Linked DNA regions of Tribolium castaneum. The protein of the gene in region 2 purifies or fractionates together with the protein of the main gene of each other region. This does not show direct contact. Links are inferred from orthologs where the notes say so. Each region holds a gene or a part of one and is shown on either strand. Other genes may lie near its edges.

Region 1 (10,303 bases), on a different chromosome or scaffold from region 2:
CATTTGTGATAAATTTCTACAAAAGATCGTAATTTATTTGTAATATTTGTGATACGAAATATTTTAATTATGTGTCCACGTAAATGCATGTGTTATTGATTTGGCCATAAACTGTGAAATTGTATGATTTACATCGCATTATTTATTCTCTCTTGAGTAATAAAAACCAATTGATTAATCGATTTGAATATTGAATATTTTGAATTTGTAATGATTTCTTGCGACCTAGAATTTTTCAAACTAGCGATAAGTTGGAGCAGTTTGCTACCATATCATTTTTTCATCAACTGTTAAGTTGTTAACAATAATAGTGCGTATACCGCGTAATATTTTTTACTGTGATAAGATAATACCGTTGTTTTTGTTTTACAACCGAATGCAATTTACATCAATTATTTTTTACAACAGAAAAATTTAAACTAATAATGTTTATTTGAGTGCTTAAAGCAAATATTTGTTCTTCCAATTTTAGGCCATCTAATCATGTCACGCTTTACGACAGATCAATTGTGTTTGAATAATCAATTTTGTAACAACACTGAAAAATTTATTTAAAAAAAAATCAAAAAAATATTGAGTGGTTTAGAATGGATTTATTCAGATAAATGAACTGAACAGATCGTACGTCCTGACGTCAAATTCACTATTCAGGCACGTGGTTGTGAGAAGCCCTCTTATAATAAATCTGAAGAAAATCAATACGTTTAAGATAATTAAAAAATATAGGGCAAGACACGTGCCTTGTTTTCCAAACAGAAGGACAAAGTTTTACGTTTAAAATAATACACTCGAACTATTTAAATTTTTTAGATTAGGGAATTTTTTACTATAGATAATAAAATTAAATAAATAAAAAATAATAAAATAAAAATATTAAAAAAACACTAAAGTTATGTTTTTTTTTAATGGAACACCCTAAATTTTATTGCATTTTTAGACGTAATTTTAATACTGATGATTTTAATCTAAACTTGTATTTGTCGATTCTGCTTAGTTTTTGAAATAATTTGAAAAAACGTTTTATTTAAAAATTTATTACACAAAAACGGAGAATCGTAGAACAGTAGGACTTTCACTACTTTATAGAGAAAAGTTCAAACTTAAATCTGTTCCAATTGTTTGGCGCAATGCAATTAGAAACGTAAAAAAAATAAGAAGTTTGTTAAAAGTTGAATAACTTGAAAAAGTTAAATGGAACACCGTATTTTTTGTTCTTGCTTCTCAAAGATTATTAAATTGTCTAGCTAAAAACATAAAGTTTCAAATGTTTAAAGTTAATAACTAAAAAGATATTTTACTTTAAAAGTTAATTTCAACAACAATGCACACTATTCATGAGCATTGTTGTTACCATAGTAACCATACCATAACCATAGCAACTCCACCCCAGACCACTTGATGGAGTTTATACGGGAATTAAAAATTCGCCAAAAATATTAAAACTTTAGTTATTTCACTGTAATAAATGACAAATAATGGCCTAAGGGTAACATAAAGTTGTTATTAGCAGAAAATTTCACTTTTCGACTACTGAAACAATAGTTAATTTTTTTTTAATGTTTAATGTTAAATATCTTTTGAATAATCAGCAAAAGACACTTAACTGTTAATGTTTTTAGAGAGACAATTTAAAGGTCTTTTAGATGCAAAAATAAAAAATTGGGTGTTCCATTTAAAATTTTGAAGTTATTCAACTTGCAACAAACCTCTTCATTTTTTATCTTCTTGATTGCAGTAAGCTAATAAAAATTATAATTCCTTCAAGTTTGAACATCCATTTTAAAGTGGTGAAAGTTCTACTTTTCTGAGATTCTTAGTTTTTATGTAATGATTTTTTTTAAAAAGCGTGTCTTTGTCACAAAAATCAAATTATTTCAAAAATTAAGCAAAATCGACCAATATAAGTTTACATTAAAATCATCAGTATTAAAAGCTACGTCCAAAAATGCAATAAAATTTAGGGTGTTCCATTTGAAAAAACATAACTTTAGGGTTTTTTTTAATATTGGAACAGCCTATATATAGAGTGCAATATTTTATAAACATGCAGCAACAACACAGCTATAATCTAAAAAAATGAAAAAGTCAATTATTGCATCGGATATTTTTCATTTAATAAAAAAACTTTACCCATTGGGTGCAATTTTAAATGAGTGATTAAAAATTTTTGAATAAACATTTTTGTAATGTTTGTTTGTTCATAATGAATACAGGAATACGAGCAAAAATAAACAAAACATAAATAATAATATGTTTTAAACTTCAGTGAAAAACAATACAATTTTAAATGTGCATGTAAAACACTATTATTAATTATTAATTTTTCCAAATGTAAGAGATAAGAAATAATCACAGATTTATGTCAAAATGCAAGTTCTGAGGATTTAAACACGTTTTTAGACAAAAAATCAATTATAAAATTATAAACGAAAGAAACGAATAGAGTAACGTATTGTTTTTGTATGTTGTTGTCCTACATTATCAATATGGCCTATAATAATAATAAACCATGTTGGGCAACTCAATCATCGTACAACAAACAAGTTTTTCTCATTTTTTCAAGCCTTATCGACTCCGATAACTGTATGCAAACATTGCCTCCCACTCATCTTTTGATGAGTAGAATTTTAAATAATTCATACTTGTTTAAATTTTTCTGGATTGTTTTTGTTTTGAAGAACAGTTTTTTTTTTCTTTTTAAAAGACTAAAATAGCGCCAAATCCTTTAATTTTAAAGATCATAACTTATAATAATTTTCTAAAAACAATTAATTCCAGATCAAATTATGGGTGTTCCCTGAAGGCACACGCCGTAACACCGGTCAAATCCACCCGTTTAAAAAGGGGGCTTTTCACATAGCCATCTCGTCGAAATTGCCGATTTTACCGGTGGTTTTCAGTCAGTATTATTTCCTTGATAAGCAAAATAAACGCTTCGATCACGGTAAGTACATTAAGGTGGTAAATAGGTTTTTACAAACACCTCAATAGGTAAGGTAATCGTTACCGCACTACCGCCTATTCCAACTGAGAATTTATCACATGACGATTTGGACGAACTCATGGAACGCACGCGAAACGCAATGTCGACGACATTCCATGAAGTGAATAAAGAGATGAAAGAGTCTCTCGTGAGACCGTTTTCTAGTCAGTAATTTTAAAAATAGCGATTTTATTTAATTTATTCCAAGACAACGTACTTTAAAAGACGCAGCAGAAGCCGGGGCTTGATTATGTTTTAATTTATTTTTTTTCACCGGTTTCAAGATGCCATAACTGAGCGAACGAAGGCTGTGAGATTAGGTACGATGTTAGAGTGTTTCTTGCCACTTTGCAATAAATTCACCGAAAAGGCGCTTTAAAATAAAAAACGTACTTTGTTCGTTTAATGCCAAAGTAATTATACGTGAGAGGACGGAACTTAGTCAAATTTGCAACGTACTGTGCAAGGTCGCGAGGTTGTTGGTCTTGTGATCTTGAGTTATTTAAAGAAAAATCAGAAATTAATCCGAAGTCTAAAAAATTAGGACGTCAAGTTATTTAATTATTTAAATAAGTATCAGTGTTTGAAAATGTTTGCAACAATTTTTGTCCCAAAAACCTTAATTCAAAAAAATATTAAGCTAGTCGAAATTTTCGATTTCTATCTTTATTGTTTTTTATAGTTTTATTTATTGACTGATTGTTTTTATTTTGCCACGGCTTTTAACATTTACAAATAAAACTTTCGTTAATCTTTCCTGCAAATTTCTAGCTCCAACCAAGGTTCTGTAATTACTTATAATTATTTATGTAAGTAATTAATGAACCTTGATTCGTGATCTTGGTCTATTTTGTAAGGTTAATTTTTTCACGTGTAAAATAATATTAAACAATAATTTTTTTGGTAGTGCATTTGCTCCAGGAACAATTTTTTATTTTCCGGAATTACTTTTAAAATGCTTTAAACACAGTCAGGTGACCTTTAAATCATAATAGTGCAGTTATTTATTTACATAAAACAAGGCCAGTTTTGCATCAATGTTTCAAGGGAGTGAAAGTATTTGTAGTGATTTTTTAAAGCGTTTTTTCAGTGCAAATGATCGAATTTATTTATTGGTTTTATAATGAATGGCACGATTTTTACGGTGATGTACCTAATTTATTTAAGTTAAAAAAATGTATCAGAAGTGACGAAAGAGTATCAGGGTGTGCTTAATTTTTTATTTCTTGTCACTTCTGACACGTTTTCTATTTTATTGAATAGAACTTTATCCACTATTTTGTATATTTGACACAGTTGTACTTTAGTTTTAAGTAATTTCCTCACTATTTAATTGATAAGAATTTTGTTAAGTGGGTGAATAAAATTTCAATTAAAATAAGTTATACACGTGATTGTAAAGTGCTTCCCTCTATCCTCTGATAAGAAACTGACAAGTGAAAGTTTTATTAGGGACAAAATTTAAATTCAATTCGGAAGTAAAATTACCGTTGGGGGCGCCACTGAGCTAGGTCGAAAACAGTAACCATAAATGGCGGGAAAATGTTTATTCGGATATTTTGAGCGTTGTACGAATTTTGGGGCTTCACAATTATTGCATTGCCTATGCGGAATAATTATTGCATCTTTGATGCAAGAAACTTATGTTGACAAATGAGAGATGACGAGGAAAACACGAATAACGAATGACTGTTTGGTTCACTTTCTTTATTAGAAAATTATTACAAAGACATTGAAAAGCGTACCTTTTGGCATAATTTACGTTTAAATGTATCAGCAGTTGTTAATCTTTATTGTAGTTTTGTAGATTTACCGCAGCATTTCATGATTTTTTCAGTGGAAAATTCTAACCTAAAATTCATAACACTTCACTAATTTATTGGTTTCTTGAGCCAAACTTTGTGTTCGCTGTGATCCATTACTTATAATCTTTAATTAGACAACAGTTTGATAACACTTTGTAATCAAAATTTAAATATTTTTCACTTTTTATCCACTTTCAAGTTCCAACAATAAACACTTTATACCACGAAAAACTACAGAACCAAAGTCAACGCTAGTATTTACCACCACGTACTTTTAAAGTAATTCTTTCTATTGTAAGTAATTAACACTATACACGCAAAATTGTTGAACAATTCATTAAATGTCAGTTAAATGTGGAATTACGAAAATTTCTTTACTGTTTTCGACATAGTTCAAAAGTCATCACCAGAGGGCGTCTGATTAATTTTATTTCCGAATTGTATTTAAATTATTCACACCAATTGAAACTAAAACGTTTAATACTTCACATTGTATTTATTACTCCTTTCTTAAATGGGGGCCAAATAACGTAACTTAAGCTCCTCCAAAATATCAAAATAAAAATAGAAAAAAATAAAAACCAGTTAGGATAAGGATGACGATTTCATTTGACTCTCAGTCCAGGCTTTAGCAATTGTCCTTTTCATTTCGTCATCGCCTGTCTCATACCTAAAAACCAAATCAAACGAAAGTCCAAATAATTTGAACCAACTTACATATTCTTCATTAGTGACATAATGCCCTCATTGGGGTCCACATTATCCCCAGTTTTGAATTTGGCTTTTTGTGCATCATCTACTTTTTTCTCAAGCTCAGTCACGTGAGACCAGGGGTCCCCCTTGACCTTTGATGCATTTATTACCACCATATCTACATCAAAACAATTTTAATTAAATAATTAACTTGGTTCAAAAATATTACACCTGACTTAATCTTCCAATTACTGGCCGCTGGGTCAACAGCCCCCAGAAGATTGTTAATAGTGAAGACGTAATCTTTGTTTTCGAGATCTCTCACTTCCAGCTCTAGCGACTTATTCGTGAAGTGGCAAACGACATTTTCAGGCGGAATGGTCTGAACTTTGGGCAAAGTGACGTAGAATTTCACAAATTTCGATGTTTGATCCCAAGCTGTCCCAAAAACACGCAGTCAAGACGTGCAATTTCAGTGAAAAAACTCACCGTAATTGTTTAATTTGACGCGATAGCGCTTATTCGTTGAAGTGACTGGTGTTGGAACAGTGGTTGTGTTTAATTGCTCTTGTAATTTAGTTATTTCCGTTGAGATTTTCCTAACTTCCAGCGACAAAAAGTCTTTGACTTTGTGGCGCGTTGCTTGAGCTTCGAGAGCTTGAAGCTCGGCCAAGTCTTTTTTGAGCTACAATTTTAATTGAATTGATTGTAAGTGTTAATTAATTAACTTACTTCGTCAATTTTTCCGGACATTTTTTACTTCACTGGGCACAAAAGTGTGGTTAGAAAAAATTCCAGAAATGTCAGTCAAATTCTGGAAAGTTCGGCCATACCAACCGAGAGACGCTCAATTCCCGAGGAAAGGACAGGGCCGTATTGAGGACAAGTCGTGGGTTCCCATTTTTTATTAACGGAAAATTAATACAAAAACGTTCGATAATAAATAAATAAATAAAATATCCTGACTGGTCAACAAAAACAATAAAATCACTCCCAACTCGTCATAGAAAATAAAATAACGGAAATAAATATTTGGTATAAATCAACAAAAATAAATAACAATTCTTTGTCCGAAAACTATGGCATTGGTGTGTTACATCAGTTCGGGTGACACACTACAGCTAGGTACTTGCAGTCTTTGTATAACGTCCTGTAATTGTGGATGGTTGTGTTCACTGTACGAGAGAAGTATGGGTCCGTTCAAGGTCGTGAGACAGCCTTCACAATTGAGCGTTTTCTTCTTCACACACACCCACATATGTCGGTTATTTTTCGTATCACAATGTATGTAAATATGACCTTGGTGGATTAGAACCAACTGGCCACGCCCACTTTTAATCAACATCAAACCGCCACCTGTTGATTAGAAACTTCTTTATTTAAAAAAAGAACTTACAATTGAGAGAAATACAAAACAGTCTCACAAACGTCACTGGATGTTTTGGCTACATATCGAATTTTTTCTACCACTAAAATTTGACACTCACAAAAAATATCACAAAAAAAATCTTCTTAACTATACGAGGTCTGCCATAATACTTCTTGTAAATTTTGTATAGGAACTTCAGTGTCTTCGTCCGGGTTAAACACGTCGGGAATGACCGGATGCGTGTGCATGTACGGCCATTTGACAATGTTTCCGTTCATTGTCCAACAAACCGCTTGGCATTTTTCCGGCGATCGGCTGTTTTTACAATACCAGAACGCCTTGCCTTTGTACACACTCTTCTTATAAAAGACGTAACCATCAACGATCAGACGGGGATTACCGCGTCTTCCCAGAATGCACTGCAGGGTGCCTACAGATCAAATAATACACAACAACAATTAAATACCAATCAAACAACAAACTACTACAATTATATGGCATTTTGGAGCAAGTATCATGCAACAAACGTACTACTATGCTACTGTACGAAAGCAAAAACTAACTAAAGAGAAAGAAATGCCATATAACGGAAATTATAAGAAAATAATTGAGGTATTTAAAAGTTCAATGTGTATTATTTTACGCAGGTCCCGCAAATTTTTGCACAATTTCATCACACCGTCACAAATTTTTTTTTATTTTTTTTTGTTCATTATTATGAATAAAAAAAACATATTACAAAATATGTATGTAAAAAAATGTAAAACTACAGGGTCGCTAAAAAGTATAAATACAGTTAAATATTATAAAAACTATTGATCAAAACTTATTAAAATTTGGTTTTCAGATGTTTATTAAATTTCTATCTCCATTTGTTCTTCAGATACAAGGCTAACTTATTTTTTTTTAATAGCAACAAGGGTCAAATTTAATATTTTTGAGAAGAGCATTTTTTTCTGAGTTCTATGGTATAACACATGCATACCTTAATTTAATCGAAACTTAAAAAAATCGAAAATTTTGAAAAATGTAAAATCTTATTAGCCTTGAAAATGTTGTCTTTATCTATCGTTAGCTCATTAACCACAAAATAAGTAAAAGTTAAAAATAATTGTTAAAATAACACTTTTAACGTTTTAATTAGGAAATTTTAAACACGGAATACTTGATTTTTACGCTACAAACGATGTTCAAACTGATTTCCACTAACTTCTTGGCTTTCTGTCTCCATGATAAACTAACATGGGAATTTTTTTCGCTCAGTTTTACTTAAATGTACTATTATTAAACTAATTATTGCACCCAAGTTTAATTTTTGGCTAAAATACAAGTGACCGATATCGCTTATAACGTATTTTCAAAGCCAACTTAGTTTTACTATTCCAGAAAATTTTTGAATTTTTATTTTTTTACATTTTAATAAAAGTAAAGGTGGGTATCATGTTACATCATTGAATTCAGAAAAAATGCCCTTTTTAAAATGGTCAAATTTGACTCTTCGTGCCATTTAAAAAAATCAAGTTAGCCTTGAATTTTCAAAATAAATGATGATAAAAATTTGATAATGCTCTCAGATGATAGAATTTAAACACTTTTAACTGTTCCCCAAATTCCAAGGTTTTCTGTTAAAACGTTCTGAAAATATTTAACTGTATCCATACTTTTTAGCCACACATAAAAAGTCATTGTGGACAGACCTTATTAAAAAAATAAAATAAATGTTCAAGATCGCCACTTTTACACCTAATAACATAATCTACTTTCAATCAATGGTTCTAAAAATAATTCAAGCCAAAAACATCCATTTACATAAAAAGCACAACGATCACAGTTTCGCATACCTGGTGTTGACGAATCCTGAGGTTTATTGATAATTTCGGAGGTTTGCCAACTTGACGACTCCCCAATTTTCGTATCCAACATCGTTGACAAATCTAAACTATTTTCTTCAAACTTTTGTGAAGTGTTACTTTCGGTATCATCCAGAGGCTCTTCCTTTGGCTTCACTAACGCTTCAGGAAACTCTTGTTCTTCCTGTCTGATAGGGGGCTCCTCAATGTGGGGCCGTTTAGGGGGCGGAGGATGAGGTGACCTTGGTTTGGGGCTGTCAATAGGTCGCAGGGGCTGCATGGGCTTTATCACTTTTTTGACAGGTCTTGGTCGTTTCATGATTTGTCTTTGGTCGGAAAAACTGTACGGGATTCGACTGGATGCAGTGTAGCCGTTTGATTCCTAAAAATTACCAAGTGCTTTACTTTTTTACGAGAATTTATTACTCATTCGTTTAACTGTAATAACATAAAGTTGTATTTTTTTAAATAGGAATCATAGTTGGCTATGACATTTTTGAAAAAATTATTTTTTTCTGATTTGATATGTCTGTTTGTGTAATACATTAATTTTAAATATTTAAGAAAAACTAAAACATTTCGCTTTTTCTTTATAGTAGGCCATGAAAAAATTTTGGATTTTTAATTAAAACTATGAAAATTGTATTACCCAACAAGTATTTATAATTTAATGATTTTTTAATCCCTAATTAATTCAAAAACAGCATAATAAATTATTATTAGATCAAATTTTTGCAATTAATAAAAACTATTTGTTTTTATATTTAAAATGGCAAGCTTACGTTGTCATTCTATTTTCCAATTTTAAACAAGAAATGTCGGAAGAAGAAAAATCTTATTAATTGTATGATTGCCTATCAATAAAATTTTATTTTACAAAAAAATGTCAATCCAAACACCAAAATCAAATTCCATCTGCGCTAAAAAAATACACAACATTATCAACGTCACCTCCATTGCACTAAATCATAAAAAGCGGCATCTAGTGGTAGTGACACATCGTTTGCAATTTTCTGTACATTTTTTATGTAATTAAAATCTGCGACGCTCGTATATTTGTTCAATTGAAAATAACTTTAACTTATTTTTATAATTTCACATTTTTTACTTTAATAACCGTTCACAAAATTTCTAGATTATTCACACCTTTTATGTGAAATAATTTTTCCATGGCCAACTACTTTCAAATATTTTAAATATATTTTTATCAAAAATATACAAAAACATCAAACTATATTTATATTGTTTTGAGTTCGGAAAAAAAATAAGCTTTTCGAAAATGTCATAGCCAACTATGATTCCCATTAAAAAAAATACAATTTTATGTTATTACAGCTAAACGAATGATTAAAAAAAATCGCTGATAACATTACTAAATTCTCTACAAAAAAGTGCCTGTATAATGACTTTGTTTCAAACGTGAATCCTTTATAATAAAAAAGATATGAATCTTTTAAGATATAACTCGAAAACAAAAGACAATAGCGGGATGAAGTTTTGACCAAAATTATAAAAAAAAAAAAAAAAAATTTATTAAAAATTAAGTGACACGTATTTTGTATTTTTTCAAAAAAAAAGTTTTCAATTTATTATTCTTAAAAAA
Region 2 (11,166 bases):
TAACGAGCTTAATGTACTGTATGTCAATTGAAATCAAAATATTGTATTCTATATATTTAATTAATGTGATATATCTTGTCTTTGTCTACAAATCAATAAACCCAAATAAATACCATGTTCCCATTACATTTTTTTTTCTTCAACCCAAATCCCATCAAAGAGAACGATACATCATTATCAGTTTTAAACGCAATATCAAGCCATAAGTGCAATTAGTGTTTTTGATTCCGTCTAAGAAAATTTGAGAAATAACCCGCAAATAATTCGCACATCAGTCACCCAGAGGTCAGTATATACGGCTTAGGAAAAAATTTAAAGATATTTGCTGGGACACCCTGTGTATGTTACCCGTAGTGCCGATGCGTATTCCTGGTTGCTCACATCAAGTATTTTTTTAATTTATATTTTAAATTCAAACTTTTACTTACAATTTAAAATTTTTGCATGGAAACGCATTGAATTTTATTTTTACGACTAATACGTATTATTAGTGTCGTAAAAGTATAATCAACAAATTACGTCACACACGAATCTTATCTTAAAAGGTGATAGCAATTAATTACTAGCAAGGCCCTCCTTTAGTACACAACATTTTTTAAAAAATGTACCCGTTTTTAAGGTACCCTTTTTTAACAAGTTAAAATTTTCCACAGAGGAATTCAATTTTGGACAAATTCACCTTTCAAAAATTTAATTATTAAAGTAAATAATAACAAGTAAAATTACACTGATCATTATTGCGCACAATAATTGAGTTATTAATAAAAAACTAATAAAATTAGAAACATTTGGCAATTTCCAAAAAATTCCAAAAAAAATCAAGTTGGTTAACGGCAAATTTCGGTAACCTTAACCCCTTAACAAAAACAAAAATAACCAAACCATTGAAATAAGAATCAAATGTGTGGGTGTTGAGCCTTGGCAAATATTTAATAATAAAAGACCTAAAGCAATAACAAATAACCCTCCGTAAAAATTATAGATTTGGAAAAGTACGGTTCAATACCAAAAGAGCTCGTAGTTGTCGCGCTGCCCTTGGGGCGAATTGACATGCGCACTAGTGACAACAAGCTGAAAATCGTCGTTCGGAGCAAATTCTGGTGGTGCCACTGATGTTCTAAATAAATCGCGCAATTGGCGTTATCTGATAAAAAACCGCGTCGCGCCAACTCGCCCCCGAGCCAGTGTTCGAGACTATGCTGCACCGACAGCCCCCGAGCCCCAGCTAGCACCGTTCGAAGCCAGACAATACGGTAGGTGGCCGCCACAACGCGGGGTTTCTCTGGCACGTGTAGCTGTCACAGGGATGCCGGCGTCCACCCTCGAGCCCGTGAACGCGGCTTTGCGCTCCGCCCTCACCAAGACCGACGACAGTTCTCTGGACACGCAGTTGGCGGGATCCACCAAGAAGGCCCTCCTGTCCAACATCGACTTCGAGCCGGCCGGGAGCTACCAAAGCACCGTCTTGGACAAACTCAAGTCGAAGTACATCGTGTTGAAAAGCTCGGAGACTCCGCAGCCCAGGTGAGTTTCGCCGTTTTGAGGGGCTCTTGTGATTTTTCGCTCAATCCGCAGCAAGCCTGAGGGAGACATGGGCGCGGATGAAACGCTCAAATTGGCTAGTTACGAGCTGTATCCTTTTGAAGCTGTGCAGTTAGGTTGGAGTAAATGTGACTGGTCAGTGGGGGCCGGCATGATTAACATGGGAAATACCTGTTATCTCAACTCTACGCTTCAAGCACTTTTCCACGTTCCCGCTCTTGTCAATTGGCTCATTTCTGATAAGGAACACACAGCTGAATGCCAGGACTCAGGTTTGTTCACCACAAGCATTTTATTATTTACAAAATTTTATTAAAAATAAGCTCTAAATCTAGTTGAGCAAATACAGTATGGAAAAAATCTAGTGTTATCAAGTAAAACATCAAATCTTCTAAACGGAAAATTTTATTTACATAATAATCATTTTTAACATTTAATTTAAAACACTTCTGCTCGCTGTTTACGTATTGTTTTAAAATTTCAAATAATAAAAAAAAATAATTCCAATAATATGATTAGTGTAGATGTCTATATTACCGGCAAGGTCAAAGAATCTTTCAGTACACTGGTTCTTTCGTTGATTACTATTTCTGATTTTCCTTTATTTATTTACCGTTGAAAAGAAAAGTAAAAATTAAAATTTCCTGTTTGTTGACAGTTTTCGTGGTATTGAGAATTTGAAGCGACTTTTTTTTAACAGAAATGTTACTCTCTTATCTTTAGTTGACACCACTAACAAATTTTTTCATGTTAATTTTAGTAAAAAAAATTGGAAGTTCCGGGTTTTGGTGTATATTTTGAAAAAAAATTAATTTTAATTTTATTTTTTATTTATTTTGTTACCAAAATATTGACGATTTTGTCTTAGTTATTTCTGTTCACATCTGTTTGATTAAAAAATAAACATTAATTGTTTTTGGGCTGATTACGAAAGCTCTCAATTTTGAAACTGTCATTGTGACACAAACATACTTAATTGTAAACGAGCATTACAAAAATTTTACACGGAAATTGCAAGCTGACTGGCCTTGTTATTATGTTAATTAATTTATTTATTATTAAATTATTTTATTCACTATTAAGCCGCATAAACAGAATTTCTATACACGACAATATAAAAATGTGAGAATGGCGCCAATATATTTGATCAATTAAGATAATATTGTGAATACAACTGCGCAATAACTGTTTAGCTTACCTCTAGAACTCTTATCGAAGCAATGATTAGAATTAGAAGTGGTTTTTAATGAGCAAATAAAGCAATAGCATGTGCTTTTTAATCACGAAACTTAAGACATTTCGAAATTTTTAATAAATAATTGAGTGAATTTTTTGACTGAGAGCTTCTTATGTTTTGCAGGTGGGCTGTGCATAATATGTGCAATGCGGAAGACTCTCCAAGACTCCCAACAACGTAACACAAACACAATCCGTCCTCTCCTCATCTACAACAAGCTGCGTTTGGTGTGTCGAAACCTCATCCCGGGTCGGCAAGAAGATGCGCACGAATTTCTTAGATATCTAGTGGAAGCAATGGAAAAATCCTATTTAAGTCGATTTAAAAACCATTCCGAATTTGATTCAAAAGTGAAAGAGACCACACCTCTCAATCAAATACTAGGCGGATATTTAAGATCGGCAGTGAGATGTTTGAAGTGTGGTCACGTCAGCACCACCTTCCAACACTTTCAAGATTTACTATTAGACATTAGGAAAGCTCAAACGCTCGACGAGGCGTTGGAAGGTTACTTCTCTAGGGAAAAATTGGACGATGACTCGTATCATTGTCAGTCTTGTCAGAAAAAAGTGGGTATTTGTATTCAAAAGTTTGATTTTGTTACTTATCTATGTTTTCTCTTGTCTAGGTACCTGCAACAAAACAGTTCTCCCTTGAAAGAGCCCCTATGGTTCTTTGTATACAACTCAAACGGTTTTCTGTTAGCAATAATAAAATTACTAAACATATACATTTTCGACAAAGACTGGATCTAACAAGGTATGCCAGACATCGTCCCAGTGTTCCACTGATCTATAGACTTGTTGCCTTAGTCACACATATGGGACCTACTGTTAATTGTGGCCACTACACTGCAGTTGCCCAAGCGCCGTCTGGTAATTTTTACCAGTTTGATGATAGTATGGTAAGAGTAACATTGACAAACTGACCAGTTTCCATTAAAAATTACACTATGAAATTATTGCTTCATATTTGGTGACCCAGGCACTATTAAACACTGATTAAACCTTTGTAAAATAAAGTTTTTCTAAGTAAAAAATATTAAATAAGCATCGTAAATGTGCTATCGTCAGTTTTTTAAGAAAAATGTATTTGAAGGAGATATCCTCCGACTTTCATTACGTTAACTAACATTTGATGAAAGCTAAATGTCAATTGGAGCATACATTATTTCTAATAAAATAGGTCAAGGAAAACAACAGGGTGCATTTTTTTATTCTAATAAGAATTATTTCAATAATTTATTTTATCAGTGACATACCATGTAATACAAGATCGTAAGACATGTTACAAAAAATATTATATCCCAAATACCTACAAGGTTCTGCTTATTTTTCGCCCCATAATTGTGTAATAATATGATTAGGGACAGTTATAAAACTTACGCATTCATAATACAAACATGTGTGTCTACAAAAACGTTATGTAGGGGATAATTAATTGACGAAAAATTTATTTCTCCCTTCCTTCACAGGTGCGGGTGATATCTCACCAAGCTGTGTTCAATACAAACGCATACATAATGCTGTACGAATTAGAGTCATCTCCATTTACCAAATCAAATAACGGGACAAACAACAAGATAAAACCTCCGCTTTCTCCCGAAGCAAATACTAGCAACAACACATCAAAAGCTTCACTGAACGGTATCGGTTTTACGAGCGACAAAGTCTACGGCCCCGAACTGCCCCCCGACCGAGTAGAAAAGAAAATCAACGGTGTTAACCCCACACCGGTCACTAACGGTAACGGAAATCACTCAGAGAGTTCCGGAACGAGCGACAGCGAACCGGAAAATCCGCAAAAAAGTCCACAAAAAGAAAACAAACCGGTGGCGACACCTCCGCTTCCCCCGAAAAAATCAATGCCTAGCATAAATAACGAGGAAACCGCCAAATCACCACTAATGCAAAAGAATCGGACGTTATCGCCACGCAATACTAATAGTACAACACCGATTAGTTCAACAAATGCGGAAAAGAAAGGGTCATTTCAGCCGGTTACTACGAAATTGGTTCCGTATGAGACGGACGATTCGAGTTGTTCCGACGAATCGAATCAGTCGCCACAGGATGTGGAGTATAGAGTTTCTACGAAGGCGGCAGTGGGCGATTGGAAGGTTACTTCAACTGAACCAACGACGCAGAGTAAAAGTTGGGGAGAGAAAAAACAAGATGGGACTGTTAGCGAATTGTTCAAAATGTCCCACAGTGGGTATTCGGCACCTGTTTCCTCGTGGAACGGTACTAGGTCTCAGCTAGATAAGGAAATTAGCAACGAAAGGAGAGAAGACAGAAAGAGAGCTTTGAGTGATAATTCGGACCAAGGCAAAGTCAAACATCAAAAACTGAATAACTCCTACAAGTCTAATCCTGGTTACAATCCCGTACAAGTGAGTAATTTGTTAGTTCCGATAATAGCTTCTTTATATTTTTTGAAAAGCTATTAAATATATTAAAAAATATTTTGCAAATTTAAAAATAGTTTCCTAAACTTCTTGGATAAAAATATAGAAAATTGAGTGATTTTAGCTGTCGTTTCGTATTCAAATATTTGTATGAATTGTTGTATATCGTATTTTTGTTTCAGGAATTTCACAACACTAAGAACTGGAGTCAGAACAACGGTTACAAGCCGTTTTATTCGGGCAACCGGCACCGTCGTAATTTCCACCACAAAAGCTTTCATAAAAATTACCGCTTTAGGCAGTGATTAATTTTAAGGTTGAATATTTTTACATAGGCAATTGAACTTGTATAATTGTGCATATTATGTCACCATTGTTTAGCATAACTGAATTTGTGAATTTATAATGTAAGTATTTATATTTTTAAACAAACTATAATTCCTAATTTTGATTGAAAAACCGATGTAATAAAGTAGCGATAGTATAATTAACAATGAAATCTTTTAGGAAGTGGTATTTGTTTCATTTTTTTGAGCTTAATGTTCACAGTGCATTTAAAATACTGTATTTTTTCTATTTCTTTTCCTATTTGTACAAAGATTTATTTACCATTAAGCATAAAGATATTAAACTTTTACCATATATTACTTTAATGTTTATTAACTTCTTGAAATTGACGAATGTTTTGAATTTTATGATGCAACTTTGAAATTTTAAACAATGGTAATAGTCAAACCTACACTATGTGTACTCATGTTGTAGCAATGCAACCATGTATCTGTTCTAGAACAAAACTTTGGAAATAAAATTTTTATATTAATAGAAAATTTTATTGCAACATTAATTACAATCAGCTACTTGTTCTTGACTACAAAGTGACAATAAATTATACTTTTTGTGCTTAAGATAGTCAGGTATAACACTTAAAAACGCAAACCCCTTTATCACTTCAACAATAATAGCCACTTTTGCCTCTTTAAGATCAACTTTATGATCAGGCCTCAGCTCGGACACTTTCGCTGCAATTAATTTTATGACTTCATCCCGCGAAACAACATTATTATTCCGGTGGTTGAAGATCACACAAAACGTTTGCGGGGACTCCACAAAGTGTTTCTGGGCGAGGGGCACAAATGCGTTGACAATATCACTCACATTCGCCTTGCACGTAATTTCCACAGGAATCAGTCTCAGCAAAAATTTCGTTCTTTGGGTCTTACTCCCATCAACATCTTTTATAATCGCCTCTGCTAGCTCAACCGGATTCTCCAAACTCGTCCTAATGAATAGGAAATTTTTGGCACCAGATTCTATAACCTGGAATCGTTTTTCACTCTTGTCTTGCTTCAGTTCGGATATTTCTTTAGCCAACGAGTCGTCAATGTCTTGCTCAGCTTCAGGTTCGTTGCTCTCTTGGTACAATTTGTCAGCATATTCGTTTAGTAAATTGTAAGATTCCTTAATGCAGTCCTTTTCCCTGTTGTTACAACTGCAGAGGAAGCCCCGCAAGTTCACGTCCAAGCTCAGTCTTTTGTTGGAAGTTTTTTTAAAGTAGTATTTTTTGGATTTTTGTTTGGAAACAACTGGCTTACTCATGACTACGACCCCTACAAAACTATGTTGTAATATACAATTCACCAAATAAATCGATATGTGACCACTGTTCTTTGTTAATAACACGTATTAATCCAATATTTTTTTATTTGTAAGCATAAAAAGTTAAAATAAATACGCACTTAAAAATTAGGTTAGCTGAAACATCACGCCTGACCAACCTAACAGACAAAACTTCCTAAATTTTTTGTTTCTGTGTCAGACATTTTGTTGATGGGTGACATTTGTCACATATGATTTTACAATTTATAAATAAATCGCAGTGCTAAAATCCGTGCAAATTGTGATGGGTCGTTACTGTTAAAATGGGCTTTGATATTAATAGGTTTCAAGGAGATGTAGATGAGGAATTGGTGTGCCCCATTTGTTCGGGAGTACTGGAGGACCCCTTGCAGGTGTGTTTACTTATTTTTTTAATGGAAAAAGTCTTACTGGTTTTGCAGGCACCTGTGTGCGAGCATGCATTTTGCAAGTCCTGCATAACCGAATGGATCACAAGACAGCCCACATGCCCCGTGGACCGACAAAGTGTCACATCAGCGCAACTGCGCCCAGTGCCCCGAATTTTACGAAACTTGCTTTCTAGGTAATCAAAAAGTCTGAAATGAAACCGTTCGATTCAATATTTTGTTCCAGACTGTGTATAAATTGTGATAACGCTCAGTATGGCTGTACGCGTGTATTAAAATTAGACTCTCTCTCGAACCACCTTGAAGAATGCGAACATAATCCTAAGAGACCTTTACCGTGTGAGAAGGGCTGTGGTTTAGTGATTCCTAAAGATGAGTTGAAAGACCACAATTGCGTGAAAGAACTGCGAGCGCTGATACAGACCCAGCAGCAGAAAATGAACGACTTCCAGCAGGAAATCACCGAGCAGCGCTTCCTAATCAACGAGCAAAAGCGCGAAATGCAGCTGCTGAAGGAGTTCATGAGGGCCATGAGGATATCGAACCCTTCAATGAGGGCAATAGCTGATGCAATGGAGAGAGATGAAGTCTTAAGGTGGAGCAACTTTCTCCAAAGGGCGCGAGTCACCCGATGGGGAGGGATGATCTCGACACCAGATGAAGTTCTTCAAGTAGGTTCAATCAACAAGTGGCGAAATTTTCATAATTTCCTTCCAGAGAATGATTAGAAGGACGTTAACTGAGATGGGGTGCCCCAACCACATATTAGACGATCTAATGGAAAATTGTCACGAGAGGAGGTGGCCCCCCGGCTTGAGCTCGCTGGAGACCAGGCAAAACAATAGGAGACAATACGAAAACTATGTTTGTAAAAGAGTACCGGGCAAGCAGGCTGTGCTGGTACTGGCGTGCGACAATACGCATATGGGCGAAGACATGATGGTAGAGCCAGGTTTAGTTATGATTTTTGCTCACGGTATAGAGTAACCCTCTTTGTTTTTATTTTTTTTAATTACATTCCTTTTAAATACATTAATTTACATTAAGTTTAATCATAATCTTTCTCACTGCTTTATTATAAAATCTGGGGTCTGTAAGTGCCACAAATTGTTCCGTTCTGGTGGTGATGCAGTCAATTTTATCAATTAGAATTCGTAAAATTAGAAAATTGACAGGAAGTGCACTAATGATACAGGATTATTCAGCTTGAACAAATTAACTGTTTTGTAACTTACTGCAATGTGCCATTATTCATGAACCAAAAGTAAATTAAGGCTGTGGTCTACTTTATTAAAACATTTTCACCCGTTTACGTATAAATAGCTTTAATGGGTCATTTAAACACCGGTAAAAATGAAACTAATTCGCCGCTTGAGGGGCTTTAAACGTCGTTTGTAGAAAATTTAATTCTCTTCAACTGTTTTTGTTACGTTTTTCTTGTGTTTTTGATTGTATTCGCATGTAAATTATAAATTTAATAAATTATTCATGCACTTTAAAAAATAATAATAATGTAATTTATACTTTCAATGAGAGATCTAACCATTAATAATTATTGACTGTGTCTAAACTCCCGGGAGCGTCACGAATATTGAAAGTGACGTCATCAACGACCAGGATTTTTAATTGTTTTATTGATTTTTTGTATTTTACACATAATTTTTGTTGTAAATATTATAGCAATCCTTAAATTTTCCAATTGGAGGAGAAGCCAATCAGTCAAGTCTTTAATAACGATTGCAAGGCCAAATTTAAAAAATACTTACATTTTATTTTTTATTACACAAAAAGTTTGTGTCTTCGAGCATCATATATATATGATGAGTGCCTATAATAATAGGGAGAATTTTTTTGCAGACCAGTGTTATTGAACTTACTTTTTGCAATCAAGAAATTATTATAAACGTTGACTGCATCATCAATTTTGTTCCAGAACGTGTTCATTTGTCGATTTTATAATGCGTAAAGTCATCAATAATTCCTGCCGCCAGGATAATTGATTACTTTTGCATTTTCAAAGAATTTGCTGTTAATATTGATTTTTCAACAATAACGGAAACGCTGACGCAGACTTGAATGTTGGTGGATGTGCGGTTTTCCCGTTTTGTTTCGTTTTAGTTATGTATAGTTTAATGATCTGACATTTGATCTCAAAAATTCACAACAAAGTCGTTCCTACATCCGATCGGATTTGGTCTGACATAACACTAGTCACGTCAGAAATGTGATTTAATTTCTAAATTTTTTGAATGGAGGTATGGAAATATCAAACACTAAATTCTACTCGAAGCTCCCCTACGTTTTGAGGACTAGCAAAGGAACTCAAAGAGCTAAATACATTTGTGTAGCTTCTTGCAGTTAATTTTTGTTAGGGTTTTGGGGGGTGCGATGTTTATTTATTTTGTAATGTGATTAATATTGAGGCTTAAATGTACTTAACTTCTGTTGGGCATTTTGTAGTTCTTATGTGCTGCCAATTCTTGTAATAAACAAGTAAATTTTTATATGTTAATGTGATTACGACCCCGTTTGTAAAAGTAAAACACGAATTCGGACACGAGAAATAATAACGCGATTAAAACACCGCCTAAAAACAGTAAAATTGCGGATCCTACGTGTTCACGACCGGCACTTGAATACCCAGGATTCAAGTTGAGAGTTGAAACAGGCCGTAAATTTGATTTGAGAATTTTTTGCAATATTCCAGACTCGTCCAAAGCAATTACACTGAAAAACAATGATATAACGTATTCCAACAATCTTAAATATTACTGTTTGTTTATGTTTTTTTTCCACGAATTATTACGCAGCGTCAGAAAACCTTGGGTGTATCTCACATTCAGTTTCATTGTTTGCAAGGATAGAATTTCGTCGAGGCCCAAATTATTCACCATGTACTGCTGTAATGAAATTTCAGGGCCCACACCGATCCTGTCGTTTATATCCAATTTTTCAAATAGAGCATTTAAGTCAGAGACGTATTCTGTTACAAGCTGAAACAGTTGTTGCAAAGTCGTTCACATAAACTCAGAAATTACAAATCTTTCTTTGAATTGTTTTATCTCGCTCCGGGTGCACTCAGGACTGATCAAGTGAAGTTTATCGATTCTGAGGTTCTGTAAATTAGCGTTAGTTTCGACGTTTTCCACCAGAATTGAAGTTATAGCAGCCGCAAAACCGGTGTACAATAAATACGCCATCAGATATCCCAGGAAAAATATCAAGCAACTGGCAAAACCGCTCGGTGTGTGACTTAGGCCTTTAAATTTTGGTTCCGTAAGGACAAATTTTGAATTTTTTTACCTTGTTGGCACGCAGCGGCAATGGCCCAAAGTGTTATCTCAACCCACGTCCATGTTTCGTAACTTGGTCGCATCATTGCGTATTTTCGGGTTGAGATTCGTAAACATACAGCCAGAAGGATCATTATTGCAAAGAAAACCAACCACAGTGAGCCGGCAAACGTTAAAATGAATATATCTTTGGTGAATCGCAACTTGCTGGGTTTGTAAACCAATATCAAACTACAATTGAGTAACGCATGCAAGGATTTTTCACTGGTTTAAATAACGTACTTGCTCTTTATGACTGGGTATAACTCGGTTACATTTGAGGGCAAATTCTCAGAATGTGGGTGGCAGATTACTAAATCAATTTCGTTGTTGAAAAGTTGAGTTAAATTGTTTATTACTTTGAATTCAGTGCTGGAATTAAAAATTCATTGGCTCTATCTAAAGTGTCATTTTTCTCGATAAAGAAAACAGTTTAATACTCCTCTCAATGCACTAAGGATTAGGGATGTTTTACCTGATATTTAAGGCTTCTCGAAAATTTTCAATTATGTCAATACTGTAACCTTCGATCATTGTTTGATTATCGTTGATCGTCATCCGACAATCGAGAAAATCAAACGTTGATGCTTTTTCTGCAAACACTCCAATTTTTAGAGTCGTGTT
Region 3 (11,166 bases), on a different chromosome or scaffold from region 2:
AACAAAACCGCCCTGTACTATACCGTCTCCACATTCCCGTCTTTCTTCGAATTCCTCCTCTCACTCGCAATAAACGACGTTTCTTCCGAACTGATCGAAACTTCCTCCTCCGGTTTCTTCTCCACTTCTTCACTTTCTTCCTTCACTTGCGGCCTTGGCACAATTGCGATTTTGGGCGCCATATCAATCACCGAATTCGACGCCTTCTTGATCAACTCCAGCGGGATCTCCTCCGACCGTGGCCTGGGCATCCTGGGGGAACCCTCCCTGGACTTCGTCCGACTCGATGACGAATCTCTGGACCTGTTGGGAGTGCGATCTTCCTTTTTCAAAATTTTTGGATCACTGTCACGATGACGGCGCGATTCGTCCGTTCGGTGTGTCACACCTGGGGGGCTCTCCCAGCGGGGGGCGGCAAAACCGGGCCCCCGGGAGAGGGCGAAGGGGCGGTCGCGGAGGCCTCGCCCCGTGGAGCGGTTGTAGAGGCCCCCGCCGACGAAGGCGGGACTTGGGGGCCCCGACTGACCGGGGATTTCGAGGAGGCGGGCGATGTGCTGCATTTTCTTTTGACGAGCCTTGATACGGCCCTGGAAAATTGGAAAATTCGTCGCTATTGAAGCGATTTTCGGGCCTTTTTTAATCACGAAACATGAAAAATTATCACTTTTTGTGTTAGAAACCACGAAATTTTGTCAAATCTTCACTTTAGTTCACAATACATAACACTATTTCGCTCAATTTCGAGCGGTTTTGCTCATTTTTGTGACAGAAACCTAAATTTAAGAGATTTTGTCGAAACAATCAATAAAAATTGCTTTAAATGACAATAACGCATTTTCATTCCGTTTTGGGCGATTTAGCACGTTTTTGAAAAAAAAAATAACTACAAAAATGAATGTTTCAGGTCAAAATAACACTTTTTTTGGAAGATGAAAGTTGATTTTGAGCTAGAAACAAATTAAATTCCAGAAACTTTTTGTCGAAACAGCAAACTTCACCCAACTACAAAATCAGTGTTTTTGCTGAATTTTTTTTGGTATTTGCGAATAAATCTAATTCATTTTTGAGCCAGTAAGCACACACTTCAAAAGATTTTTTCAAAATATCTAAGAAAATTTTCGTATTCCAATCATTTGTGAGCGATTAACTCGTTTTTTTATAAAAAAAATCACGAGATTTTCCAAAAAAAACCTCAAAAACACTTATTTTTAAGAACTGCAAGTAATCAAGTAATAATTTTTTTAAGGGATTTTGTTGAAACAACCAAGAAAATTGTGTCAATTCAGTAAATTTTGAGCGATTTGGCTCATTTTTGTCTCAGAAACACTGAATTCAAGAGATTTCACTAAAAAATCACCTTTTAGGTCAACTGTTTGTCGTAAATTAATTAATTTCTGGGCCAGAAATATACTAAATTCACAAGATTTCGTCGAGATTACTAACAAATCTGTCACAATAAAGCTAAAATTTAGCTCGTTTTCGCACATAATAAATAAAAAAAATAACAAAAAAAAACGCTAGGTAGGTACTTGTGCAAAAAAAATTAATTAATTTTTAAGCCAGATACACGTTAAATTCAAGACATTCTGTCGAAACAACTAACAAAATAGTTGGCAGTTTCATATTTTTCGAGATAAATTTTCAACGATTTGTCCTTTGAAAGATTTTACAAAAAAATCGACGTTTTACATCAAAATAGATAATGGCTATAATTACTAAATTTAAGAGATAAAACTGTCGATTTTGGGCGATTTAACTAGTTTTGTACAAGAAGCACACAAAATTCAAGAAATTCCTCTCAAAAAATTACATAAAACCAACATTTTAGAACAAACTAACACTATTTTTAGCAAGTGCAAGTAAAAAAAATAAACTTTAAAGCCAGAAACAAACTAATAAATTCCAGCTATTTTCTCAAAACTCCTAAGAAAACTGCCACTTTAAGTCACAATAACAATGCTATTTTAGTCAATTTTCAGCGATTGAGCTCGTTTTTGTGCCAAAAACACATAATTATTGAGATTTCACCAAAAAAAATCACACTATTTTTGCTTGTTCTATGTAATCTAATTCATTTTTAATCAATAAATAAACTAAATTAAAGGGATTTTCTCGAAACAACTGTCAAAATTGTTGTTTTAGGTCACAATTACGCTATTTCAGTCAATTATTTATCAACAATTTGGCCGGTTTTTGTACCAGAAAGACACTGAATTCAAACGATTTCACAAAAACAAACACTCTTTCTGGCTATTGAGTGTAACCTGATTGGTTTTGAGCTACAAATACACAAATTTGAAAGATTTTATCGTAACAACTACGTCAAATGATTTATTTTGGAGTGAGAAACACTATAAGTTTAGAAGAAATTATCCAAAGTCACAATTATGTCAGGGTATTTTCTTTTTTTTTATGTTTTTTTTTCTTATTTATTATTGCAGTTTTTGTATTGAAGGACTAACTCGTCTGTTATTTATTTTTGTTCATTATAGACAATAAATTATATAGTATAAATTATTATTATTATTCAAGATGTGATTCCACTAACCTTTGTTAATCTCTGCTTTGCCGCCATACACCTGATATTATCGTCGAAAACAAACTTGGCACTGAGCAATGGCACCCGATTGGTCGTAGTCCCGGACAAAGGCCTATGTATCGTAATATGCAGACACCTAGAATCATCCTTATCCCCAGTCACTTCAATATCTTGAAGAAACCCAACCAACTTGGCCACCCCCCAGCCCAACCTCTTCGTATCTGGTTCAACCAGAATCAGCTGCAAGACATCAATGACCAGAAATCGCCTCGTCTTCGTCCCGTCTTTCCAAAGCACCGTACACGCGATCAAATCGGAATTATCTGCAACAAAACGGAAACATTCTCATCAGGCGGCCTCGTCTGATGAAACACCGCCGAACGAGACAATCGTTAAATCCTCTCCCACTAAAAACCATGCAAAAATAATAAGAAAAATCAAATAAAAAGCGTTGTGTTTCATACTGTAGTTTATTAGGTTTAAGTCGCAATTTAACGATTGTTTGATTCGTGCAGTTGTGACACACAACGAGATATACTCAGGTCCAAGGCTTGCTCAATCTGGACGCAGCTCTGGGGGTTGGTGAGCGGCAGTTGGGTTTCCAGCTCGCCGTTCAGCGTCAATACCACGTTTCGCACCAGGAAAAACACGCGGATGGCTCGCCGCGCCCGCTCGACCTGCTCAAATGAAAATAACACTACTACTTACGAAGACAAAAGGAGAAAAAACAACCATAAAAGAGAAACAGAGATAAAAAAGCACAACAGCAAAAAATACAAATAAGGAAATGAAAAGATTTAATTAACAAAAAACTACAAATAAATCTTGTACTATTTTTTATTTATTTTTAATATCTTGCTACAAACTGCTAAAAAGGAAAGGGCATTTTTTAAACCCCACGTGGTTGTTACTGCACAAATTAGTTATTAATTTCACAAATTAGAGCACTCCTTAAATGTAATATGTATTGCTGGTTTTAATTAAAATAATTTCAAGCAAAACGATTTTTCTGAATAAAACGAAAAAGTTGATGTACCGGGTTCGTCAAGTTTTACACTCAGGCACTTTACACCTCTTAGAAGAGAGAAAAAAAAATGAAATAAATATATTCCACTGCACTGATATCCAATCTCTCTAGGAAAAATTTTTTTTTCTATTGATTCATTTGTCCAATAAAAAAGAAAGAAACCATTTGACCAAAAAATCACATCAGCTGTTTTTTCCATCAATGGATCGGAAATACGAAATAAAATTATTCTGCAAAAATTTGACTTGAAAAAAATCGTTAGAATTGGATTAAAAGCCATTTTGATATTATTCATCGGAAATTTCAATATAATTTATGAGGGACAAGATTGAGTAGTGATAAATTTCCGCTACAAAAGGACCCAATAACAGTAATGACTGCAGAAATTTTACAACTAGCGGCACGGTCCCATCGGGCGGTTTTAAAGCCAGGACCGGAATAAACACACTAACGTGTTAAAAATGTTTTATTAAAAAATTACATCAGAAGTTCAAATTGATGACTATTTTGGTCTAAGCACAAATAAATTCTTCGTTTACAATTCGCATGAACCCTTGCCGTAAGATTTAAAGATTAACATTCCATTTAAACAGTAAACAGATAAAATAAATGGTAATCTGGGCCTGAAAAATTCTTAGCAGCTGCCTCAACCTTCAAACCCAACAATGATCGCGTGCCAATTTTACGACAAATGTAATAAATTTTTGAAAACCGCCACCCTGATGGAGACCTTTTGTGGAAGTAATTTGCAATTTTACCAAAATTCATGGGAAAAAAGCTGTCCCAATATCAAAACAGAATTTAAAAATCAACGACACATTTTCTCAAAAATTTAATTAGGCACTTCGATGCACTACCTTAAAATACACCTATGGACCAAAGATCGTTAACATTAGACTATAGTTAACTAAGCGAAAGTGAAAAAACACACCATACAAGTAATCATTTTAAAAACTGGTCAAATCGTTCTTCTCTACAATAAAATCACATACGATTTTTTTTTTAATTTTAAATAAATTACAAAGAGGTGAAAAGTGCCTGAGTGTAAAACTTGACGAACCCGGTATAAATCATACATAGTTAAATGATACCAGTGCAGTTCCAATTATACGCAATTTATTATTGAAATTATTATTTTTTAATTATTTAAAAGTAAATAAATCTCGCACAAATAAATGAAAATAATAATAAAAAAACGGATTATGCTTTTTTCTTGTGTCAACTCTCACCTCTCCGCAGGGCAACCTCTTGGTGAAATCAATCCCAGTCATGGGTGTGCCCGTTGGCGGCAACAAAATCGCGCTATCCATACACAACCATTCAACATTCAACGAAGTCTTCGACATATCACAGTATTCATGTTCAAACATATCGAGAAAAATCTCCTCACTCTTGTAAAAATTCCTCAAGAGCGCCGTACTTTGCGTTTTCGCCGACTCTATCGTCAGTTTATGCGACTCAAGAAGTACACTTTTACCATCAGCCATCACTAGTTGCACCAGAAGCTTCAAAGCCAACTCAAGCGTCACCAAACGGACGCGACACGAAGGCTGACACGACAGCAGCACTATGTACAAGAGTTTGTCCACCAGATAGGTGTTATAAGTGTAGCGGACATCGCGAGATAAAGTCTTCGACGTGTAGGTCTTTTTAGGCCTTAATACTTGTTCGTTTATGTCCGGCATTATCCCTAAAAATCGATGCAAAACCCAAAAGACAAAAATTGCTAAACTGTTCCTCACCTTTATTGTATGCCATGGCGTACAGTAAAGTGAGGGCAAAAAGCGCAGCGTAGTCGTTTTCCGAACAGTCCAATGCGTTGTAAACCGTTTCCAAAAACGGTTTTTCCGACACACTTTCACTCTCAGTCGGCGTTATCGCCAATCGTTGTTTCTCTTCATCGGTGATGTTTTTATGTTCCTCAATTACATCGTCCTTGAAACTGTTTTCAGACCCACTGGCTTCTTCCTTTTTCCCGTTTTGTTTCATTTCAAGTTCGTACGCTTCTAGCAATTTCTCGACGCCTTTATCGTAAATCGAGCGATCGCTTTTGAGGATTATCCAGGCAAGGGTTTGGACAACCGGCGAGTGCGAAATGATGAGACAAACTTGCGACAGGAGGAACAAAGCGACAACGCATGAAACCTTCCCGGTTGAGGGTTCGTGCGAAATCCCACCGTTTGATGATGATGATGATTCGTTTAAGTTCAGTTTTTGATTGAGCGCTTTTGCGATTGCTTCCACACCTCCGGTGGGCTTTCGCACCGTTGACAGCGAGTAGATGTATAAAGGGATGAGGAGTTTGTGTAAGAGGTGGTCGGTGAGGACTTGGTTCAAATCGGTGATGTTCAAGCAAAGGATGTCGTTTAAGTAGTGGAGGTGGTCCAAGTGTTCTGCTACGAGGTCAGACAAGCGATTCTGCGACTGATGACTGGAAAAATATTGGTAGTTCATAAAATTACGTATGTGTGCGAAATTTTACTCGGCATCGTTGCGGACACAAGCATCCAACTCTTGGATATGTTTGCCAATGAACCAAACAATGTTGGAAAAATACGGAGCTGCGGTTCTGTCTCTGATGAACGCAAGCATACTTGCGTCCTCAACTTTGTAAACATTCAGCGTCAAAGTACGTACTGCTATCCTGACCATAGACTCAGGGTGATTAAAAAACTTGATCGCTTCCGTATACAACGGAAAATCATTAGTATGCTACGAAAAATCTTTACATAAAGACAAATGTGGTGACACAACATACTTCATTATAGAAAAAATGTATCGTATGAGCGTTCAGTTTCAAGCTCAAAGTTTTCAAAAAGGAGATATAGTACGCCATTACTTCCTCGTCCGAAAAATCGAACTTGTGCACAATTATCGAATTAACGTGATTATTTGATAACAAGTAATCTGAAAAACACCTTTGTTACAAATTCAAACGAAACCTTCCACAATTACATAGCGAAGTTTCGTTTCTAATATTTTCGAATAGGATATTAAGCGTTTGGAGTAACTGGACGCAGACAAAGCTCGAGCCCCCGCTTCGTTGTCTCATGATACGCAGAAAGAACGACAACATGTTCTTCTCCAAAAAGAAGCTGCAATTTCACGATGACTCCCATCATAACGGGCAAAAAATCTTACTCAAAAACGGACGAGTCATTTTGGTCGCCCCAGATTAGAATTTCGGCTATGGACCGAAGGGTTTCCACAAGCAAACCCCGGTTGTGTTCCGACACTGTTTGGTTCCGAGACAACACGTTGTATAGGTATTTCAAGTGTTCCAGCGAATGGGGGTTCTTGGGGCGGCCCCAGCCACCACCGAACCAGCTTCTACTACGGAACATTGCACAGTTTTAAGCACCATAACCACGGGTTTGCGACATTTTTGCGATAATTTAATTAGTTTTGATTTGGACAGGGCACGTTTGACAGATGTTTGTTAACGTCAATCAGCTGATGCGCATATTCCCATCAGATCGAAACGAATTTGTGGATTTTTCCATTAAATTTCCGGTTAAATTAAACACACAAACAGAAACGCATATTTTGTCATTACTGTGGGATTATTATTGTTAAATAAAATATTTTTGTGACAAATTTTGTCGTTTCGCGGGCGTTATAATTGTCATTAGTACGAACTGTCGCATTCACAACGGGGAATCACCCAATAAAACGACTGAATCATTGCAATAGTTTTATTAATTCTGCTACAACACGGACGTTAATACTGTTCCCCAGTAACATATACTTTTGTTTATCGCTTGTATTTTCCGGGAATGTAAAATCTTCAGGAAAACTCATTAGCCTGCCAACCTCCCTAGGTGTAAAAAACCGCATTTTCAACCCATGTGCTAATTTCAAATAGGCGCTACTTCCAGGCTCGTGGTCGGAAAGTTGGTTGAATATTTCAGGTGTAATTTCGGGCAAATCGCTATAAACACTTCCGGTGCCTTTAACGTAACGTCCGTAAGCCTTAGTGAAACAACACGTGTTTCTCGAAGTGCTATAACGTATATCTGTGGTTTCCAAATAATTTGTTAGAACTTTATCGGTTAAATAATACGGAGTTAATTCGTTTTGTTCCAAAACTTTGCTGATTTCAAAGCAATGAGGGGCGTTTTGTTGATTAGGAAATTCCGTTTTCTGAAAAAAAAACCGTAATAATAGTTAATTAACGTAATTCGTACCAAAACTCCTGTCTTAAAATTGAACACATTGGGAGGTTTTTTGGCGAGACAATAGTACCGATGCCTGGTGTTAGGTATCCCAATTTGAGTAGGCGTGAGAATAAATTCCTGGTAATTAAAGCCGCATTTTTCCAGCGTTTCAATTAACAAGTCCCTCATTTTTGACCGTTCAAAACCTTTCACGTTTTCTATTAAGATTCTAGTCACTTTGAGATCAGGTAAAATCGCTAAAACGTGGATGAAAGATTTGGTTCGTTCATCGTTGATGTCCTCCTGAAGGCCGTTTCGGGTAAAGGGCTGACAAGGGGGCGACATTAGAATTGTGTTAACGCCTAATTTATTTATGAACTGTGGTGTCAGGCTTTGAACGTTGCGATTGAGTAGATTTATGTGCGGGAAATTGTGTTTATAGACTGAATTGGCTGTGGGGTTGATGTCGACTGCTGCTTTAATTGTGCCTTCTACCCCACTAACTGTAAAAAATAGAAATAAAGCGAAAATTAGCAATAAACTGGGCATGGGGCACCTTTTAACGCCCAATGCATCCCCCCAATGCCACTGTACAGTTCCAAAATTTCCATTTTTTGCTTTGTTTTTTATTATAGGTTAAGTTAACCTCATTCATTTCAGTTCAAGGGCTCTCAAACTTTGGGACTTATTCGGAATAATTTTTTTGAGAAAACTATGAATTTTCGATTTACTCAAATTTTACCAATCAATTCGATTTGCCATTCTCTGTGTACCCACAAATTTTTGCTAAACCATTCCAAGCCAAAAATTTTTATTAATCTACCTGTTCAGAACCACTGTTTTGAGAATTTTTAAATAGTGTTTCTTGCATGTTCCTGTGTGTGGGAGGTTCGAATTCCGGTTCTGCCATATTTTTTTTCGCAATTTTTATAAAAAAACGCAAATTGTTATAGAAAAATACACACGACTCTTGCAAACTTTATTGTATATACCGAATTTAGTACACTTTAAATTGTAACAAAACAATTAAAAATGTAGTTGCGGCATTCAAGAGACTGAACAGTGTTGCCCTATTTATGCAATAAAATCTTGCTGCGGAAAATTCAGGGCAACTTTGTTCAATTCTTCTCAAACAACGCGATCTTCGCTTATTCACTTTCTTTCTAAGGAAAAATTTAATTTTTAATAAAATGTTGAGAATCTCTTCATATTTTTTCAAAACTTGGTCACAAACCAGGGTAAAGTGCAGAATTAAAAGCTAAAATTCTGTTTAAATCACGGTAAAGAACCGAGAATACTTACCCAAAAAAATGCCATTAAAACGATTTTCAGTGAGATTTCGAGAACAACATCGATGTGCTGCCTTTTTCTTAAATGCTCTGGCATTTTAACAGTGTCGTCTATGTAAACAAGCGTTCTACAAACGACAAAAAACTCATAAAACAAAATATCCCAACCGAAAATATCATTAAAATGCGACACAGCTTTTTGTAGGCAGAAAAAATCGGGTTGTAGTTTAGCCAAAGTTTCGAAAACTTGGTCAGAATCGACGCTATTTGCGATACGTGTCAGTAAAGTTTTCTTCTGAAAGTGGTAGCATTGTTGAATCATTTGCAACACCGTAATGGCAGTAATGATTGAAAAAATTAGCCGAAAAAATAGCACCAGATCGCTAACACTATAAATTAAGAACCTAAACCCAAACATTTTCATAAACACAAAAGTATCGTAAAGTCTGGTTATCAAAACAACAGTAAACCAGGCCATAAACGTGCACTTGCAGTTGGTACCGCTGCTACTAACTTGCGACAGATTTTTCACCATGTAGTACCAACTTCGGGTGGTGCTGTTGATTCTAATCAGCGAGAAAATTGCTGAAAAGTACGAATTCATGCTGACTACGACTCGCAAAGAATTTTGCATTAAACTTCGATGTCTGAAAACTGCACTTTGCAGAAACATACAGAATGAGGAGGTTATTGTGTAAATTATGATCAAAAGTAATGCGTAAAAACGTTTTTTAAGCGAAGGTTTTTTCGTTGTTGGTGTTTCGGGAGTCAGTAGAATGTATTTTCCGATTTTGAAAACTGTATCAAGTGCTTTCAAGCTCATTTTACGAATGAATAATGAGAAAGGGAGCAGCTAATGGATGTAAAAGCGCTCTAATGTTTTAAGTATTTGAAATTGTTTACTGGAACAAAGTTTAACTAGTGCTTTAAGTGTTTCTACTTTCTATAAATAAGTAATACTTAAAACTAATCAAGGTGCAGTTTTCTGTCTTAAGTTACACGTCGTTTAAAATTCTACCCTGAGTTCAAACTGTAGTATAATAATTACAAAAGTAGTTACAGTACTTATAATACTGAAAACTGTGGATTTGTTAATGTCGTAAAATCTTGCGGCCGAAAATTTCGGTCGACATTGTTCAATTTCGTTGAGCAACGAATATTTTTTGTTATTAGTAGTTCTGGCAAATATTTCTGAAAAATCAGCGAAAATATCGTCAAATTCTTTCACGACTTTATCTGCAAGCATTATGAAGTACAGTGCATAGGTCTGTAATTAAAAATTCTTTACTTTTATTTAAAAAAAAATGTTTTTTTTTACCCAGAATTTAACTAAAATCACAAGTCCCCCCAAAACCTCAAGTGAAAAGTTGTAATAAACAACTCTCGTAATCATCCCTTTGGGACTTTTCACATTATCGTCAATCAAAACAAGAGTTCTACAAATTCCAAAAATGATAAAGTAAAAAAAATTCCACCCGAAAATATCATTAAAACAAGAAACAGCCTCTTTGAGTAAGAGAAGATTGTGTTCCACACTTGGCAATGCTTCAAAACCTTTCCGAATAATTTCTTTCTGCGAGTGGTAGCACTGCTTCACCATGTGCAGCACCGTAATCCCCGTAACAGCTCGAAAGAAAATGAAAAATATTTGCAAAATTTGGAAAAAGTGCGTTTGAATAAATCGAAACGCAGCTTTCCTCATAAACGCCACTTGCATGCAGATGAGTATCAAAGTTTCGCTAACAAACCATGCCACAAATGCGGTTTTGCGACTGGTACCACTGCCACAAACTTGCGACAGGTTTCGGATCAAGTGGTACCAACCGCGAGTCGTGGTTTTCACCATAACTAAAGCAAACACCGTCGAAAGTAATAAACTAAAATCGGAAAGTACTCGAAGAACCATTTGCATCAATCCCAGGGTTTGGTAATGGGGGATTTTGCAAACTATATTAACCAGGGCGCCAACTGTTAGAAACACCATCAAGATAAAGGCGTAGATTTTTCTGCCCAAAGATGGGGTTTTTTCGGAGCGTGATTTTGGGGTCAAAAGTGCAAATTTTCCCAATTGGAAAATTGTGTCAATTGTTTTCACGTCCATTTTTCGTGGGAAATGAGACTAAAGTCGGATTATTGACTGTTTTGAAAGCTTGC

The links. Proteins that work in one complex are often made in the same cells at the same time.
Region 1: the proteins of elgi (region 2) and calcyclin-binding protein purify together in Homo sapiens (affinity purification with mass spectrometry; 4 studies listed by BioGRID and IntAct, with this or other methods). This does not show direct contact. The link is inferred for Tribolium castaneum from reciprocal best matches to the Homo sapiens genes RNF41 and CACYBP.
Region 3: the proteins of elgi (region 2) and ema purify together in Homo sapiens (affinity purification with mass spectrometry; 3 studies listed by BioGRID and IntAct, with this or other methods). This does not show direct contact. The link is inferred for Tribolium castaneum from reciprocal best matches to the Homo sapiens genes RNF41 and CLEC16A.

Annotation. Positions count from the first base shown.
Region 1 is NC_087400.1:1,874,906-1,885,208, reverse strand, and holds calcyclin-binding protein, read right to left. Parts: upstream 6,350-10,303; 5' UTR 6,235-6,349; coding exon 6,214-6,234; intron 6,167-6,213; coding exon 5,971-6,166; intron 5,920-5,970; coding exon 5,713-5,919; intron 5,660-5,712; coding exon 5,506-5,659; intron 5,459-5,505; coding exon 5,374-5,458; 3' UTR 5,265-5,373; downstream 1-5,264. Other genes in the region: Agpat1 (1-acyl-sn-glycerol-3-phosphate acyltransferase alpha), read left to right, coding at 2,779-2,944, 2,992-3,155; protein bric-a-brac 1, read right to left, coding at 6,994-7,280, 8,692-9,082. UniProt on the Homo sapiens protein: May be involved in calcium-dependent ubiquitination and subsequent proteasomal degradation of target proteins. Probably serves as a molecular bridge in ubiquitin E3 complexes. Participates in the ubiquitin-mediated degradation of beta-catenin (CTNNB1).
Region 2 is NC_087394.1:31,068,359-31,079,524, forward strand, and holds elgi (E3 ubiquitin-protein ligase NRDP1), read left to right. Parts: upstream 1-7,105; coding exon 7,106-7,386; intron 7,387-7,436; coding exon 7,437-7,881; intron 7,882-7,927; coding exon 7,928-8,197; 3' UTR 8,198-9,711; downstream 9,712-11,166. Other genes in the region: scny (ubiquitin carboxyl-terminal hydrolase 36), read left to right, coding at 1,307-1,524, 1,576-1,814, 2,903-3,348, 3,408-3,683, 4,254-5,171, 5,369-5,491; THUMP domain-containing protein 1 homolog, read right to left, coding at 6,027-6,782; uncharacterized protein LOC103312325, read right to left, coding at 9,712-9,937, 9,983-10,203, 10,249-10,469, 10,514-10,637. UniProt on the Homo sapiens protein: Acts as E3 ubiquitin-protein ligase and regulates the degradation of target proteins. Polyubiquitinates MYD88. Negatively regulates MYD88-dependent production of pro-inflammatory cytokines.
Region 3 is NC_087399.1:2,867,077-2,878,242, reverse strand, and holds the start of ema (protein CLEC16A homolog), read right to left. Parts: upstream 7,074-11,166; 5' UTR 6,911-7,073; coding exon 6,708-6,910; intron 6,662-6,707; coding exon 6,522-6,661; intron 6,474-6,521; coding exon 6,325-6,473; intron 6,279-6,324; coding exon 6,049-6,278; intron 5,998-6,048; coding exon 5,309-5,997; intron 5,257-5,308; coding exon 4,796-5,256; intron 3,220-4,795; coding exon 3,066-3,219; intron 2,863-3,065; coding exon 2,549-2,862; intron 588-2,548; coding exon 18-587; 3' UTR 1-17. Other genes in the region: Mt2 (tRNA (cytosine(38)-C(5))-methyltransferase), read right to left, coding at 7,248-7,709, 7,754-8,226, 8,280-8,334. UniProt on the Homo sapiens protein: Regulator of mitophagy through the upstream regulation of the RNF41/NRDP1-PRKN pathway. Mitophagy is a selective form of autophagy necessary for mitochondrial quality control.